2 linked regions of the Alligator mississippiensis genome follow. The protein of the gene in region 2 binds, or shares a complex with, the protein of the main gene of each other region. Links are inferred from orthologs where the notes say so. Each region holds a gene or a part of one and is shown on either strand. Other genes may lie near its edges.

Region 1 (7,552 bases), on a different chromosome or scaffold from region 2:
AGAGACTCAAATACATTGGATGTGGTATCACTGATTATCAAGGAGATGACCCATCCCAAAATGGGCATGTACCAAAGACGGCTAATGCTTGAATAAACAGGGTTGGAAGAACTAATACAAGCATTGGATTGAAAAAACTGGATGGGCTAATATTGGGCTGAGCCTCTGGCTAAAAATGTTGCTGTCAAAGTGGATGATGTTGAAGCAAAAAGTTCACCATGAGGTTGATGATTAATATTAACTGGTGCTTGCCCTAGTGTGTGGCAAAACTAGAGGAAGAAAAGCCAGAGACAGCTGTTTTTCAGTTTTCTTCACCCCCTGGTCTTCAGGATGCATGAAATCCTAATAGTTTCAGCTTAATCCAGAGGGGTTTAGGGTTGCTTTCTACCTGTTTTAGACTCCATCAATCCTTTTTCTCTGTGTATCTCTGCAAGAGAATGTGAAGTACAGAAAGAGAACAACAGTATCTTCATTTCAGATAGCAAAGTCCTGTACCATAACTGAATCTCTGAAGTGCAATGCAACCTCTACCTAAAATAAAGGTGTAGCTGGACAGTGGCTAGGTTGCCACCATCAATGGTAGTACCAGCTCAGGCAGTGCTGACTGCTATTTTTGTACTTCCCCTCCCCTCCAGCCCCTCCATTGGCATCTGGTGCCCTGTTTACCCTTTTCCCCGCTTACCTTAGTTAAGCTACTGCTGAAATATGAATTCTAAAAGCACCCTAAACCATGTCTTTGAACTAACTGTGCAAGCCAAAGGGCCTAGGCATTGGTGACTCTGCCTGGTGCCAGACACATGAGAAGGTACTTAATCCTGTTGGACCCAAGGCCCCTTAGGAATTCAAGCCCACATTCAATTCCCATACAGGTATGCAGAAAAACTACTCTTATTTGGGAATACGTCAGTTGGTAAAAGTGGCCCCATACCATCTAGCCCTGAGTGAGAACCCCAAGTGTCCTGTTAAAGTAAGACTTCACTGGACCCACATTCAAATATGGATACAGGAAGTCCTTCATGACTGGTTCCCACCTTTTGGGTAAACAACATAACTTCCCACGTAACAATAGTTGGCATCATCCTGTAGATAAGGGGTCGAGAACCTTCCACTGTTATGGGCCACTGTTTGAACCCAGCCCCTATTGAAGGGTGCAAAGATTTGCAGTGACTTGCAAATACTGCAGAGGAAATACAGAATGAGATAGGCAGCAGTACCTGGGGAATGCCCTCTCTGCTGCACTGGCTGGAGCATGCTGTTGCAGGCTGGATCAAGTCTTTTCATAACTTGCATCTGGCCCATTGGGAATAGGTTGCCAACCCTTGTTGGAGATCATTTTGCCCAGTAACTTTTTTTGTCATACCTTCTTGAGAAGGTCTGATGGTATGATCTAGCTTCTGTAACCATCTTTATTAGAAGTGGAGGATACACGGAAGGTGTCATTGCTGGAAGTACTCCCAGGGTTGATCGCAACCTATTTCTCTCCTTGTCAAATTTTCTCTTTCTTTCTTCTCATGATCCAGGGTTCTGCCTTGTATTTCATTCTTGGTCTTACCATCATCTTGTACAAGTTGACCTTTAGCATCTTTTTATTACAAAAATTACACCAAATATTTCTTTCCTTTCCACTTTTTTTTGGTCACTCTCATTAAGCCTCTTTAACATTCCTCATTTATGATGGAAAATTTCAGCTACCTGAGCATTCCATGTGGTGTTGCCCCTATCAGTTCATTACAACACTTTGCTTTCCATTCCTGTTACTATCACAGCCACAGCCACTGTTTGAGTACTTACTTTCAGCTCCCCCATTTTTAAGAAACTTCCAACAGCCTGGATAATGACCAAAAAAATTTTTTTCCCCAACTATTTTAGTTGGTCTAATAAGAGATATCGGATTTACCCAAAGAACCTTGTCTGAATGGTAACTCGGCACTTCCAGGAGTACACACTACTAACGAGCCAGACGACATGGCTCATTACTTATTACTAACACCCTGAAGAGGTGTTAGTTACACCTTACATGTGAAAGAGGGATGATATAAATTGAAGGCACCTGCTAATAGTCACAAGTGTCAGTGGGAAAGCTGAAACAGAATCAAACTCTTGACTTGGTCCCTTGCTCCATAAAAGGCACAAGACCACGCTTCTTTCCTTGTGATAGAAGCAGCCATGCTGAAGTAGTAATGGACGAACAAAAACAGCTGGGATGATTTAGTCTTCCTATGATTTGACTCTGTTGGTTCAATGTGACTTGCTTTGGTGTTGTGCTTAGTTTCCTACAGGATTAGGAGAAATAGTCTTGTTTCCAAAGCAAGCTGCTGTCTAATGGTCAAAAGTAGGCAAGTCAATGGCCAAATTAAACAGCTTTCAGTGTAACACTCAAGAATGGAAAAGGAAATAAGTTTATTGAATCAAGTAATGTGATACTTAAAAACAAACTGCATGAGTTAAAGCTGGTATCAAAAGTTGTCATTTTGTACTCATACAATATCCCTACTAGTCTAATGGATTGGGCATCCTCCCTTCCTCTGACTTCAGTAGGAAGGTGTTTAAAATGAGCAAGTAGATGGATTCTGTAAGGTAGTCTAAACTGTATGATGAATTCATTACAGACTATAAATTCATTCATTTGAGAGGGGCAGCAGGGTACAAAAACCCCATAGCTTAGGTAATTTATTTTGGAGACATGAAGAACATAGCAAGCTGTAGTACCATCCATCGCCATAGGGGTATTTATAGGTTGGAAGGAATATTCATGTCACCACATAAATTTTTGTATGTGGTAACATAGCACCCACGTGGGTCCACCCTGCTTGCTGGCGCCTTCCCAACCTTGCTTTGCCTCCCATCATTTACTGACCCTAGGGATCTCTCCCCAACAACACTGAAATTGTGGCAGGTAGTCACATCATGGGATGGACTGATATGTCCATACCAACCAGCAATAGCTGGGACCTTCTGCCTTCTCTTGGTACTTCCCCTTAAAGGGGACACCCACATAGGTTGAGGCACTTGGCAGGGCCTTGGCCATCACAGCCTCAGCTCCCCTTTGCTCTACAACTACACCCTCTGCCTGGGACTGCTGTTCAAGGCCTCAGTCTCTGAGTTTCAACCCTTACCTCAATCTCAGGGCCTGAACTCTGGGGCTCATTGCAGGGGGAAGCACTAAAGCACTCCTATTTGTGGCTTCTTCTCTTTACAGCCACAGCCAGTTCTCCAAAAGATCTAGCCAAAACATAAACATCAGCCCAACAGCTGTGAAACAAAAAAAACCTCTCTATTCTGGGCTAATACTTCCCTGCAGGGTGCTAGTTCCCCTTAGCCTCTTCCCTGCAGATCTCTGGGAACTAGGCGGACACTAATCAACCCACCTCCACCAGCTGCCAACTACAAGACCAGATTAACCAATGCCTATTCAGAGACTGGGTTTATATTTCTCAGCCCAGGCCCCTTCCAGTCACCTGACTGACCCTTTTGTTCATCCTTTCCCAGTGCCAGGTGCAGTTAATTGCCTGCCTCATTAGCTACCTGATTCCTGCCCTTTTTTAAAATGTATTCAAGCCCTCCCAGTAACAAGGGCAGGAGTTCCCCGTTGCAGGCAATATATATATATATATATATATATATATATTGTGTATATATATGCATGTGTGCGCACATGTATTCTAAAGTGTCTTGAATACTCTGCACTATGACCATCCCTTTTTAACAGAGAATATAATATTTTTATTTAACGTTCCTGTGGTAGCCCGACTCTGCAAGTGGTAATTGATTGGGCCCGTCTCAAGAAAGTAGTCCAGTGTGTGAAGGCATTATTTCTAGTAATCCTGCTCGTCTGTGGGGTAACTCTAATGGAGCAAACAGTAGATTGAGGGAAGAATATGAATATGGCAATATATTCCCAACCTAAACTTGTACCTTAAGGTTTATGAACATGAATCCCATCAAGTGCAATGTCATGCGAGGGCCGTGTCACATGTTGTGCTGTGATCCGCACATCTGTCGAGCGGTGTGAGCGCGGGGTGTAAGGTGCAGGTGCTCTAGTGTAACACAAGCCGAAAATACCTTCACACCCTTAGTGCTTGGCGCCAGTTTCAGGAGTTAATGTGGAGACAAGCCAGGCGTTGAGAGCTCCAGGAGCCGCCCCAGAATCGCAGTAACAAGACCTTGCTTGGCATGAGCAGCCCTTTGCGCCCCCGCACCGGGGCAGGACCGAGATGATTTAACTCGGCAGCTTCTGCAAACAGCGCCTCATGAGCGGGAGTGAGCACCATCACTTGATCCGCGGGGTCAGGAACCGGCCCCGCCCCCGAGCCTGACGCAGACCAGACCCAGCCTCCCGGCACTGAGAGAGCCGCGCATGCGCACTGTGCCGCCGGCTCTCGAACTGTGTTTCCCTGGAGGCTGCGCGGGCGCCGGCCCCTGCGCGCGCCGTGACGTGCAAAGTGTGAGCCGCCATCGCTGTCGCGGGCTGTGCGGGGCCGAACGGGCAGCGCAGCGCAGCGCAGCGCAGCGCAGCGGCGGGGACCAGCGGGCGCTGGGCAGGTAGGGCTGGGCGCGGACCCCGCGGGGTGGCTGACGGCACCGGCTGCGGCCCCGGCCCCACAGGCCGCTCGGCCCTGGCCTTGCCACTGCGTCGGCCGGCCCGGCCCTGTCCTGTCCTGTCGGGTCCTGCCTCGGGCCCGGCGCGGGGCCGTTACCGCGGGGCGGGGGAGGGGCGCCCGGTCCCCCCTGCAGCTCCCTCCACCTTGTGCCGCCGGGGTCACTCCCGGCTCCTCGCTACCTCCGGGCCTCCCTTCCCCGTCCGTCCGCGCGCCCGCCCCCTGCCCCGAGCGTGGCGCTTCCTGCCCACGTGGGGGGGTGGTGACTTGCCGCCCAGCTCAGCCCTCTTGCTCGAAGGACCCCTTGTTCCTCACCTATCCTTGCTGCCATGTGCCGGGTGGGCTGCTCTGCCCAGCCCTGCCCTGCCATTGCCTCGCCGCTGCCTCCATATGCCCCCCCCCTCTCCCCCCTCGCCCCGAGGGGCCGGGGTGAGACCTCGGGCCTGCCGCCTCCTCCTTCCATGCAGTGTAGTTTTGGTAGTGAGTGGCTCTACTGTTGGAGCTGCTTTCCTTTTGGAGACTGTTTTCATACACTTATTAATTGCAAGAATTAAACTGGTACAGTCCCTCTTATAGGCATGACAGGTGCCTCTGGGCTAGTGAACCTCTTCCCTGATTAGGAGTCAGACATGCTCAGGAAAGTGCGTTTGTGGGAGCGCAGGATGTCTTTGATTACACAAGTGTAGTTACAGTGTTACAGGGCTCAGGCATAGACCCATTCTTTGTCTTGCTTTTCTCCTACTTGTTTGATTGGGGATTGTTGTCACCCCTTGAAAACCAGTGGACTGAGAATGGAGTGATTTTTCTCTTGACACCAACATATTTGTTCCTTGTTTTAATTATTTTTTTGTTACAGTTGGTTGACAGCCCCTCTGAGGTACATTTCATAGAAGCTTAAATGTAGAGAACTAAATTATTTAATCTTTTGAGCTGGACTTCCAAAATTTGACTCAAGTTGGTGAGTGAGTGAATACTACATTTTGACGGACAAGTAGAACAGTGCTGGTTTTTTAGATCATTATTTTTACTGTTTGTAGGGCCTGCAGGCAAGTCGTATTTGCTTCTTGATGACTGAAGTGACAAGCTGAAAAAATAGGCCATCATCTTGAAAGTCCTGCTTCTTCTAACACTAAGATGTGATTTCATTCGTGATTGACCATGCAGATCTCTTCTTTGCTTATAGACTGTGTTCAACAGTACAGTTGTTAATCAGTGTTGGCATTTGCATAATCATTCTTAGGTTGCAACTTTACCACCCTTTTTAAGAGTGGGATAGTTGTTGCAGGCTCTTTGCACACTCAGGCAGCCAGAGCTTCATTTGTTTATGCAGCACTTGCTGTTTAAAAAAAAATAAAAAATTTCTACCATTGCAGTTAGATTTCACGCTACCTTAGACTTTGTCTACAGTGGTTCTTTTAGAAAACTTAAATCATTGTTGAGAGCAGTATTATATTTCTTGTTTTATCTGGACTGGGTTAGAGTGTGGTTGCTATAATGTGGCTTGACCTTGTCCATTATGCTGATGGACAAATTTCATAACTCTGTTAATCTTCATTAGAATTTATGTCTGACGTTCTGCCACAAGGTTGATTAAAATCATTACTTATTTTTTCTTAAACAATATGATTTCTTGTTATTTATATGTTGCTAATTGTTTCCTTTTCATTTTAAATTTTGCAGTGCAGCTTTTGAGCTTGAGTTTCATATTTATTATCTGAAATTCTAATACTGTAGGTACCTTATTTTAAAAGATTTTCATGTAAAATGGTTATATCTCCTGAAACAGTTTAGAGCCTTGTTGTAATCCTTACCAGGAGAGTGCCACAAAATTGATAAGCAAACAGCTTGTGCTGTTTTTGCAGCTAGCATTCCCTTCCAATATGTTGCAGTTTCATAAAGTTGAAGCTGAAACATTTCAGCTAGATTATACTATTTAGGCTTTGCAGTTGGAAGCTGTGTCCCAGAGTCACTCTGTGCCACAGGCACGAAAGGATTTGAGTGCCTATTTCTTGTTGAAATCAGTAGGATTATCCGTGTTGCCTAAACACCTTTGAGGACTTGGGCCTTTTTTTGTGAGAGACCTTTTTCAGTCTTTTGGCTTGTATATTAATGTATCATGGGAGCTTGTCTTCTTAAGTCTCAGTTGATTTTTATTGTTAAAACTGAAGTCATTTTATTTGAGATGACAGAGACAAATAAAATTGCCTGCATAAGTGCTTGCAGAATCGAGGCCTGGCTTTCAGTATTTTGCATTTTGCTAATGGCAAGTTTGAAAAATGTGATTCCCAAATAGTAATGGTATTAAAGAAATGTAACGTTATCATTTACTTAATTACAAATTATAATTTGAGGCTGCAACTTCAACATCATTTTTACAGAATTTCAACTTGATTTTTAAATCAGTGATTAAAATGCTACATCCTATTCTTAGTTCCTGAAAAGCAGTTTAGGGGTTGAAATTTGTCAAGTGCCTGTACAAAGGAAACAATGAGAATTAGGGCTGCTCTAATAAACATCCTCTACTGCAGCTTAGGGGCACTTCTGATCACATTTTATTCAGTCTGCGCTCTTGTTTTTTCTCTTGAGCCCTTTGATGAAGTTCTTGAGTGAGGGGAATGTAAATCTGGCAGGAATTGATTTGATCATTGCATCTGCAAATGCTATGCACTTGTCATAAAAATGCATGTGCTGGGAAAATTGTGGTTAATGCATGAGAAATACAAGTTTGTGTTATACACCTTGGTCTCTTTACTGATGGCATTTAGCATGTAGTTACAATAAAATAAATTTGAAAAGGTAGTACACAGAATTGAGGAAGGGAAAACCGAAATCCTCCCTCCCCTGGCCATGTGATGTTTTTGATAAAGGTTTTATTTTCCCCTTTTGTGCATGCCTATATGCAGATGGAATAATATTAAAGGAAAATGATGAGTCTATGAAAATACTAGATTATA
Region 2 (7,760 bases):
TGCTCGGACCGCTCACCACCCCTCCACTGCACTCTGGCCGTTCATCACTCCCCGGCCCCGCATGGGCCGATATGTCCTAGGCCTCGCACACACTTAGGGGCGGCTCTGATTAGACCAACTGAGTAAACTACTCAGTTGCTCTAATAAAAAGGTACTACATCTACTCAAAGAACCTTGCCTGCCTTATTGAAGCGTATACACTTAGTACAGTAGGAATGGGGGGCTGTCAGTTGACAGCCTGGCACGGCCAAGCCATGCTTTGGGTCAGGCAAGACTCCAGTCAGAGATGTCCAAGAGAGTTCTTCGGTACCACAGAGGTACGCCAAGGGATGGCCCAAGAATGATATCTAGCTATAATCCCAGCCCAAAATCCAATTTCTTATTTGGGTCCATATATATAGCAGTGGCTGGGGTCCTGTTGGTTGGCAGTCTGGCATAGCCTAACCACGCTTTGGGCCAGGCAAGTCTCTGGCTACAGATGTCCAGGAGAGTCCCCTGGTGGTACAGAGTCACTGTGTGGGATGGCCCAAAAAGAATTTCCAACCATAAACCCAGCCAAAACTTGTTCCTTATTTGAGCCCATATACTTAGTACAGTGGGCATGGGGGGGACTGTCAGTTGGCAGCCTGGCATGCACAAACTGCACTTTGGGCTGGGCTGGGCAAGACCCTGTCCAGAGATGTTCAGGAGAGTCCTCCAGTGCCACAGAGACATAGTGTGGGGCAGCCCAAAAAGAATTTCCAATCATAATCTCAACCCCAAAGCCAGTTCCTTATTCAAGTCATTATACTTAGTACAGTAGGCATGGGGGGCTGCCAGTTAGCAGCCTGGCACAAACAAACTGCTCTAGCCAGGGCAAGACTGGTCATGCATGTCCAGAAGAGCCTCTTGGTGCCACAGAGGTATGCTGTGGGATGACTCAAACAGGACTTCTAGCCATAATCCCAGCCCAAAAAACAGTTCCTTATTTCGAGCCCTTATACTTTAGTACAGTTGTCAGGGGGGGCTGTCAATTGGCAGCTTGGCATGGTCAAACTGTGCTATGGCTGAGCAGGACTGTGGTCAGAATTCTTTGGGACAGTCCCCCAGTGGCATCAACAGGAAGTTTGGGGTGGCCCAAGAAGTATTTTGCCCCTTAATCCTATCCTAATCTGACCTTCATTTAGAGCTCTGTACTTGATGTGGGATATTATTTTACAAATTAATTAGTACATATACATAACTAATGAAATTCTCTCTCTTTAGGATGTGCAATTCATTAATAACAAGCTTTTATTGGGTCTAGATTAGCTTTGAAAAAGGAACTGGGAACAAGGAACTGGGAATAAGCAATCAAATTCATCCTCATAGGGACTGAAGTCAATGGTATAAACGCCTGATATGAACCGGAAGTACACACCATGAACACTACAAGCTTAGTTCAAATTATGTAAAATTATGGAGCAGGGGCAAGAAGTGGAAGCCAGAGGAGTGAATGGGGAGCTCAGAGACCCTGGCTCCAGCAGCAACCAATGCAAGGGTGGGGAGTAGCAGCTGGGTGGCTCAAGGGCTACAAATTAACCCTCTCTCAAGGCTGTATGCAGCACAAGAGCCACCTGTTGGACTGGTAGAGGAGAGAAACTTTCTCCTATCAAAATGAAGTGAAAAACAAACATATCAACTTTCCATCAAACCATCGAAACATATTGACCATCTACCTATATAGCATATTACTTGTGGTGCAAGCAATTTGAAGGAGAGAAGATAATAGTCCTGTAGACCTGGAATACCTATCATACAGGATACCTATCCTGACTACCCAGGTGCAGATACTCTTTTTCCACACTAAGAGTAGCTTCAAATTTCTCTTTGAAAAAAGCGGTAGTTAAAGGTAATGTTCACATTTAGAAATGTCAGGCTTCAGCTCCAACATCCTAAGGAAAAGGTGCATGGGTGTGGAGTTCACATCTCAACCCCATTACATCAAGACATCTATACAACACAGCCTCAAGGTACATGTACAAAACTTTCTTCTCAACTAACAAGGTTTTATAAATCCAAGTTAAAATTGCTCAGAAACTGAAAGAGCCACCAATAAAATCCCAATATTGCTCCACTATTGCCATGGCACAAAATATGGGCTAACCCAGCTAGTCTATAAACTCTACAAAGCCTGCAAGGCCTCCAGGGTAGGGTATCCATTTGGCAGGGATAAAGGATCCTTCTGCCATTTCCCTGTTACAGGTTTTTAAATTTGATTTCTGGAATTTAAGCATTTTAAGGAACAGCCACAGACCCTCTGTAGGAGAGGAGGGTGACTTCAGGATGGATACTGGGGAAGAGGGGGACAGATCACCCCTACATGCTAGGCAGGGACACAAGGGTGGCCCTGGGGTGGGGTTTTTAAGTGTTCGGCTGTGGCTTGCAGACTTGTTGCTTCTTATGGGTTTTGTCACGTTCTGTAAGCCACCCTAAGCCTTTCCAGACAGGGTGGGATACAAACCTAAACAACAGCAGCAGCAACAACTTCACGCCCATGTACACACACGCCAGGAAACAGCAAGGCGCAGAGGAGTCAGCAGACGGACGCGCGGGGGCAGCTGACGAGCCTCACACAAACAAACCTCCTACTCCAGGAACAGGCACAGAAGTGGCCAGGCGCTTCCTGCCACGCAAAGCGGCCGGCCTATTCCCGGCAGCGCCCTCAGGCTGAGCGCTCACAGCCCGGCAGGGGCGCGGCAACGCCTGCCCGGCGCACGCGGGTCCCAGCCCTCAGTCCCGCCGGCCTGAAGCCGCTGTAGCTCAGACGCACCCCGGGAGGCGATGCCGGCGCAAGCGGCGGGTCTTGGGGCCCAAGCTGAAGCGCCAGCGGTCTCCTGCCCCCACCCTGCAAAGACCACGGGCGGCCGCAGGACTCTGCAGGCCCCCTCCCCGCCCAGCTGCGGGAAGCGCGCGGCGCCCAGCACCTCGGAAGCGGCGCAGCAGGTCGGGGTCGCGGAAGCCGCTGCGGCTGAGGAAGTCGCAAACACGTTCGGGGTCCCAGTCGCGCGGCTGGAGCTCGGCGCAAGCCGGGGCTCGCCTGGCTGAGACTCGCTTCTCCGGGGTGCACAGCCCTTCGGGGAGGCCGGAGATCCGAGCCCGCTTAGGGGCCTGCACGTCCTCCGCCACCTCCCGGCCCTGCATTGTCGCCGCCTGCGCCAGCCCAGCGGCGCGCACCTCTCTGCACGGCGCCGGCGCCAGTGAACAGCTCGTGGGGGGCGGGGACCCAGGATAAATGGCGTCGTGTGACGCAGGAGAGTAGGCAGTTGCTGCGCCTCCCTCCCTCTGCAGTGCCGCTATGACCTCCCTGACATTGCACAGACTGTACGAGACGACTGTAGCCCTGGCTCGGGCTTCCCGTCTTCCTGAAACCACCCTGGAAGCCACACAGACCCTCCCCCTCGCAGATTGCCACTATCACCTAATGGCGTTATTGTCCCTTACAAAGAGTAGCACCCAAGTAGATACCTCCCCACCTGAACAGCAGCTCCTCTGCTGATGCTCTCACTGATTCCTCCAAAGAAACACTGTATCCTTAGAAAATAAGTCACAAAACAAGAATGACAAGGCCATAAGGGAAATACAGAGTACCCAAGCGAGGGACTAACATAAGAGGGATTGGGGTGAGGAGAGGAATACAACTAGGCTACCTAAGTACAATGTTAGTCATCTAAGCCTGGGGTCAGTGTGAGAGAAGGGGAGGGAGATGGTCAGGACGCTGAGAGAGAGAAGAAGATAGCTACAAACAAATGTACAAAGGTCAGCAATGATGGAGGGGGTGGGTTGAACAAAGAAGTCACTCAAGCCAGCCAGCCCTATCGCAGAAGTCCTTGCCAGGTGGAGTGGAGTAGTCCGTGGTTGAGAATAGCTCTCAAAGTCCATTACATGCAGAGGGGAGTTCAGACCCCTCTGGGTCCGGTCCGGTGGCAGTTGGTCTGGTGGGGTTGATGAACTGGCACTGGCCCATGATGTGTTCGACGTAGGTGTTGTGGGACCAGCGGATGGTGTCAGACACCATGAGGCACCGCATCAGCTTGGTGTAGCGGCGGGAGGCAAGGCAGGCACACAGGACACTCTTGTTGCTGGGGTCCCAGGCTCCAAGCACTCCCACAATGAGCATGTCGACCATCACATGGTAGTCACGGCTCTTCAGGATGTCGGTCAGTGGGGCATATTTCTCCCACTTGTGAGCCCAGGCATCGGTGAAGGCTTGGGGCTGGTTCTCGAAGGTGATGGTAACATCCATGATCACGACTTTCTTGACTTCCTCATTGGTGATGATGATGTCGGGGTGCATCAGAAATTGCACTTCAGAAATTGCTATGCCCCAGTGCTTCAGATACCACAACATCCCAACCACTTGTGTACCTGTCTCCTGAGGTGCTATCATCCCTGCCTGAGGTGCTATCATCCCTGAGTCACTCTGACCCGGACATAACCATATTGTTATTCCAGACACTACTGTGCTTAAAAACACCAATCTGACTCACCATTCCAATGACAAACATTGATGCTGCCCAGATTCATCAAAGATCTCACAACATGATGATACATCACTGGAGATAACACTGGTGAAATAGTTCCCCAACCACCAAAGTGCTCCTGTATCCCAGATTTCACTGAGCTGAAGATGACCTCGTGTCCCATTGAACCTAATGCCACAAAACTGTATATAGTGACAGAACAAATGGCCCAAACATCACTGGCAGACAAGGTTTTTTGAGTAAATGTGATATGTTTTATTAGATCTTTGTTATTCTTGAAGAAGGGTGTTTGCACCCGAAAGCTTGCAAAGAACATTTTTTCCAACTATTTAGTTAGTCTAATAAAAGATATCACATTTACCCAAAGAACCTTGTCTGCCTATGTCCTTAGACCAACACGGCTACAACCAACCCTCCCAAACATCACTGCATTTTTATGCCTACTGTGAGAGAGGCAGAAAGCAAGAGAGGGACAGCCAGCATCCCCAACTCACCCTGGTATGGGGAATCCCCGTGAGTGGCATGCTGGAGACGCTGCAGCACTTCTGGAGCAATGTGACACTCCAGATTGGTGGGGAACACATCTAGAGCAGTAATTCTGGCCCCAGAGAGAGGTACAGCGGCAGTGGCAGTAGGCAGCAGAGGCGACAGACTGAGTAGCTCCCAGACTGGGGGCAACCTTGCTGCTGAAGCAGAACAGCCAGTCCAGCCCAAGCAGCAGGGTGCTTGGAGGAGCCCTATTCTACAAGCTCGATGACCGGGAGAGGCAGGATCAGGGACCAGCACATCCAGTTGGTCCAGCAATGCCGAGACTACTTACAGGTCAGAGGGACCTTGTGTGGAGGTGGATCAAACAGAAGGTCCAGGTACTGAGCCAGTGCTTACCTCTTGGGCAGTATCATCATACTTAGGGGTAAGGGCATGGTCTGGGGCCTATACCCTTGCCCAGGCTCCACATTCTGCAACAGGCCAGGGGCAGCAGAAGGCCCCAGAGTTTGTGACCGGACCCTAGGGACCAGGGTCAGTGGGTGATAAAGCCCTGTATAACTGCCAAAGGGGCCTTGAATGTCAGGCCTGGGCAGGTAAAGGCTACAATCCTAAGAGGATCCCAGGTTGGGAGAAGATTTATGTTCATGCCAGTGTGACAGGCCAACAGCGGCTGCCACCCATAGCATAGCGACTAATTTAGGGCCACCAGGCCCAGGAATATACTTTAAGTGCTGAGCTAGCTAGTTAGCAGCTGCAGAAGCTCAGCAGGAACACAGCCAAAGTTAGATGAGGGCCAGTCAAGTGGATAGCTGCTAGCATGGTTGCTATAGAGAACACGTGCTGTTAGAGTCATCAGAGACTCCTGACAATATCCATCTCTGTGGGAGACTGGATGTGGTTAGGATGGGGTAAAAGGGAGGTTTGCAGCCTCACAAAGAGAACAGGGTGAAAGACCTGGAGGGTCGCCTATGGGGAACTGCCTCCTGTAAATTACATCAAAGTCATGGCAGACAAGACATATAACATCACATAGGCAGGCCGGATGACCTAGTCTAGGCTCCACCCTGTTGCCACAGGTAGGGTGGCAATCCCTGGGAAGGGGTCTCAAACCAGATAATATCTATAGCCGACACACCTATCCACAATACAACTAGGAGACCCAACTAGGGGATGTTGGATCTTGTCCTGACCAATAGGTGAGAAATGGTAGAGGAGATGAAAATCACAGGAAGCTTGGGAGTCATCAATCACAATATGATAAAATTAATGAGACAGAAAGGGAAAGCATTTGGTCAGCAGACCTAAGTCACTAGATTTAGAAAAATGACTTTCAACTGACTTATGGAGTTAATAGCCATGGTGCCATAGGAAGACAGACTGAAGGTTAAAGGGGCCCAGAAGGGCTAAGAAGCTTCTTAAGGGCACAGTATTGGAAGCCCAACAAGAAACTGTCCCAATGTGGTGGAAGCATATGCCTTATGGCCTTCTAGGATGCCTCAAACACAAAAGAAAAGTATATAGGCAATAAGAAGATGGGCAAATCACCAAGGAAGCATACCAGGAGATGCAGGGAAAAAATCAGGAAGGCAAAGGTAAAAAATGAGCTTCAGCTGACAAGGGCAGTTAAAAACAACAAGAAGAGGTTCTAAGTAGGTTCTAAGTAGGCTGGTCTGAAAAGAAAGACCAAGAAAGCTGCAGGTCCACCAGGGTTTGCAACATGGGGTGACTAGGGGGCTGAGCCCCCCCCATAAGAGATGAGAGGCCCCCCCATAAGCACCTCCATAAGAGATGAGATCCCCCATAAGAGACAAGAGCCCCCAGCTTGCCTTTCTAAGCAGCTCAGGCAGCAGCAACAGTGGTGGTGGCTCCTTTTAGCTTCCAGCTGTCACCACCAGAGTGTAATTCAAACCCTGATTTGAATCACTGTCCTGAATCAATTCAGCCAAATCTGATTCAGAGAATCAGTTGCTGCTGAATCAGCCGAATTTCCGAATCACACAGGCGCTATCCCCTACCCGCTCTCCCAGCCCCAGCAATGGCTGCCCCGCCCACCCCAACTCCCGGCACTTAAAAAAAAAAAGCACCTAATCACCGGTTCCAGCCCGGTGGGGTGGGCAATCCCCGCTGCCCCACACTGCCCTATGAGCCCCCTGCCCCCTCCGCTCTCCCAGCCTGTGCCCCCCATGACTGCCCTGCCTGCCCCAGCTCTGGTCCTTTAAGAAAAACAAAAACTAAAAATATCCTTGGACTCACCAGTTCCTGCCTGGTGGGGGAGCAAATCCTACTGCCCCCCACTGCCCCGCGATGCATGGGGGGCTCTGTATGGGCCCCCTGAAACCCTGAGGCCACTGTAGCAGCTGGTGAGTCTGGAGATTTTTGGGGGGTTTTTTTCTTAAAGGGCCAGGAGCTAGGGCAGGCAAGACAGCATGGTGGGGTCTGGGAGAACTGTGGGGGGGGTCTGGGAGCTCGTGTTGGAGCCCCCCATGTGACATGGGGGAGCGGGGGGCAGTGGGGATCACCCCCCCCTGCCCGGCAGCACCCAGTAAGTGTGGGGCTGGGGGAGCAGGCAGGGGATGGGGCCCAGTGGAGGGTCTCCCATGGACCCTCCTCCAGCCCCCCCTCCCCTGGCTCCTACTTACCAGCTTGGAGTCCAGCTCCCTGCTGCAGTGGGCAGGGACTGCCCGAATCACCAAAGCTCTCCAAATCTTTTCTGAATCAAACCGGAGAACTTCGAATCAATTTGGACCTTTTAATTGGTCCCCTGATTCG

Evidence for each region. The genes of interacting proteins can lie anywhere in the genome.
Region 1: the proteins of SAMHD1 (region 2) and DCAF1 are in contact, whole or in part, in a crystal structure (PDB 4CC9), measured with the Homo sapiens proteins. The link is inferred for Alligator mississippiensis from reciprocal best matches to the Homo sapiens genes SAMHD1 and DCAF1. Residues at the interface, in NP_056289.2 of Homo sapiens: Ser616, Arg617, Val618, Gln619, Lys622; in NP_001336097.1 of Homo sapiens: Asn1090, Glu1091, Asp1092, Thr1114, Gln1116, Asn1132.

What each region holds. Positions count from the first base shown.
Region 1 is NC_081835.1:46,299,623-46,307,174, reverse strand, and holds the start of DCAF1 (DDB1- and CUL4-associated factor 1), read left to right. Parts: upstream 1-4,372; 5' UTR 4,373-4,542; intron 4,543-7,552. UniProt on the Homo sapiens protein: Acts both as a substrate recognition component of E3 ubiquitin-protein ligase complexes and as an atypical serine/threonine-protein kinase, playing key roles in various processes such as cell cycle, telomerase regulation and histone modification.
Region 2 is NC_081832.1:35,303,961-35,311,720, forward strand, and holds the start of SAMHD1 (deoxynucleoside triphosphate triphosphohydrolase SAMHD1), read right to left. Parts: upstream 3,225-7,760; 5' UTR 3,163-3,224; coding exon 2,946-3,162; intron 1-2,945.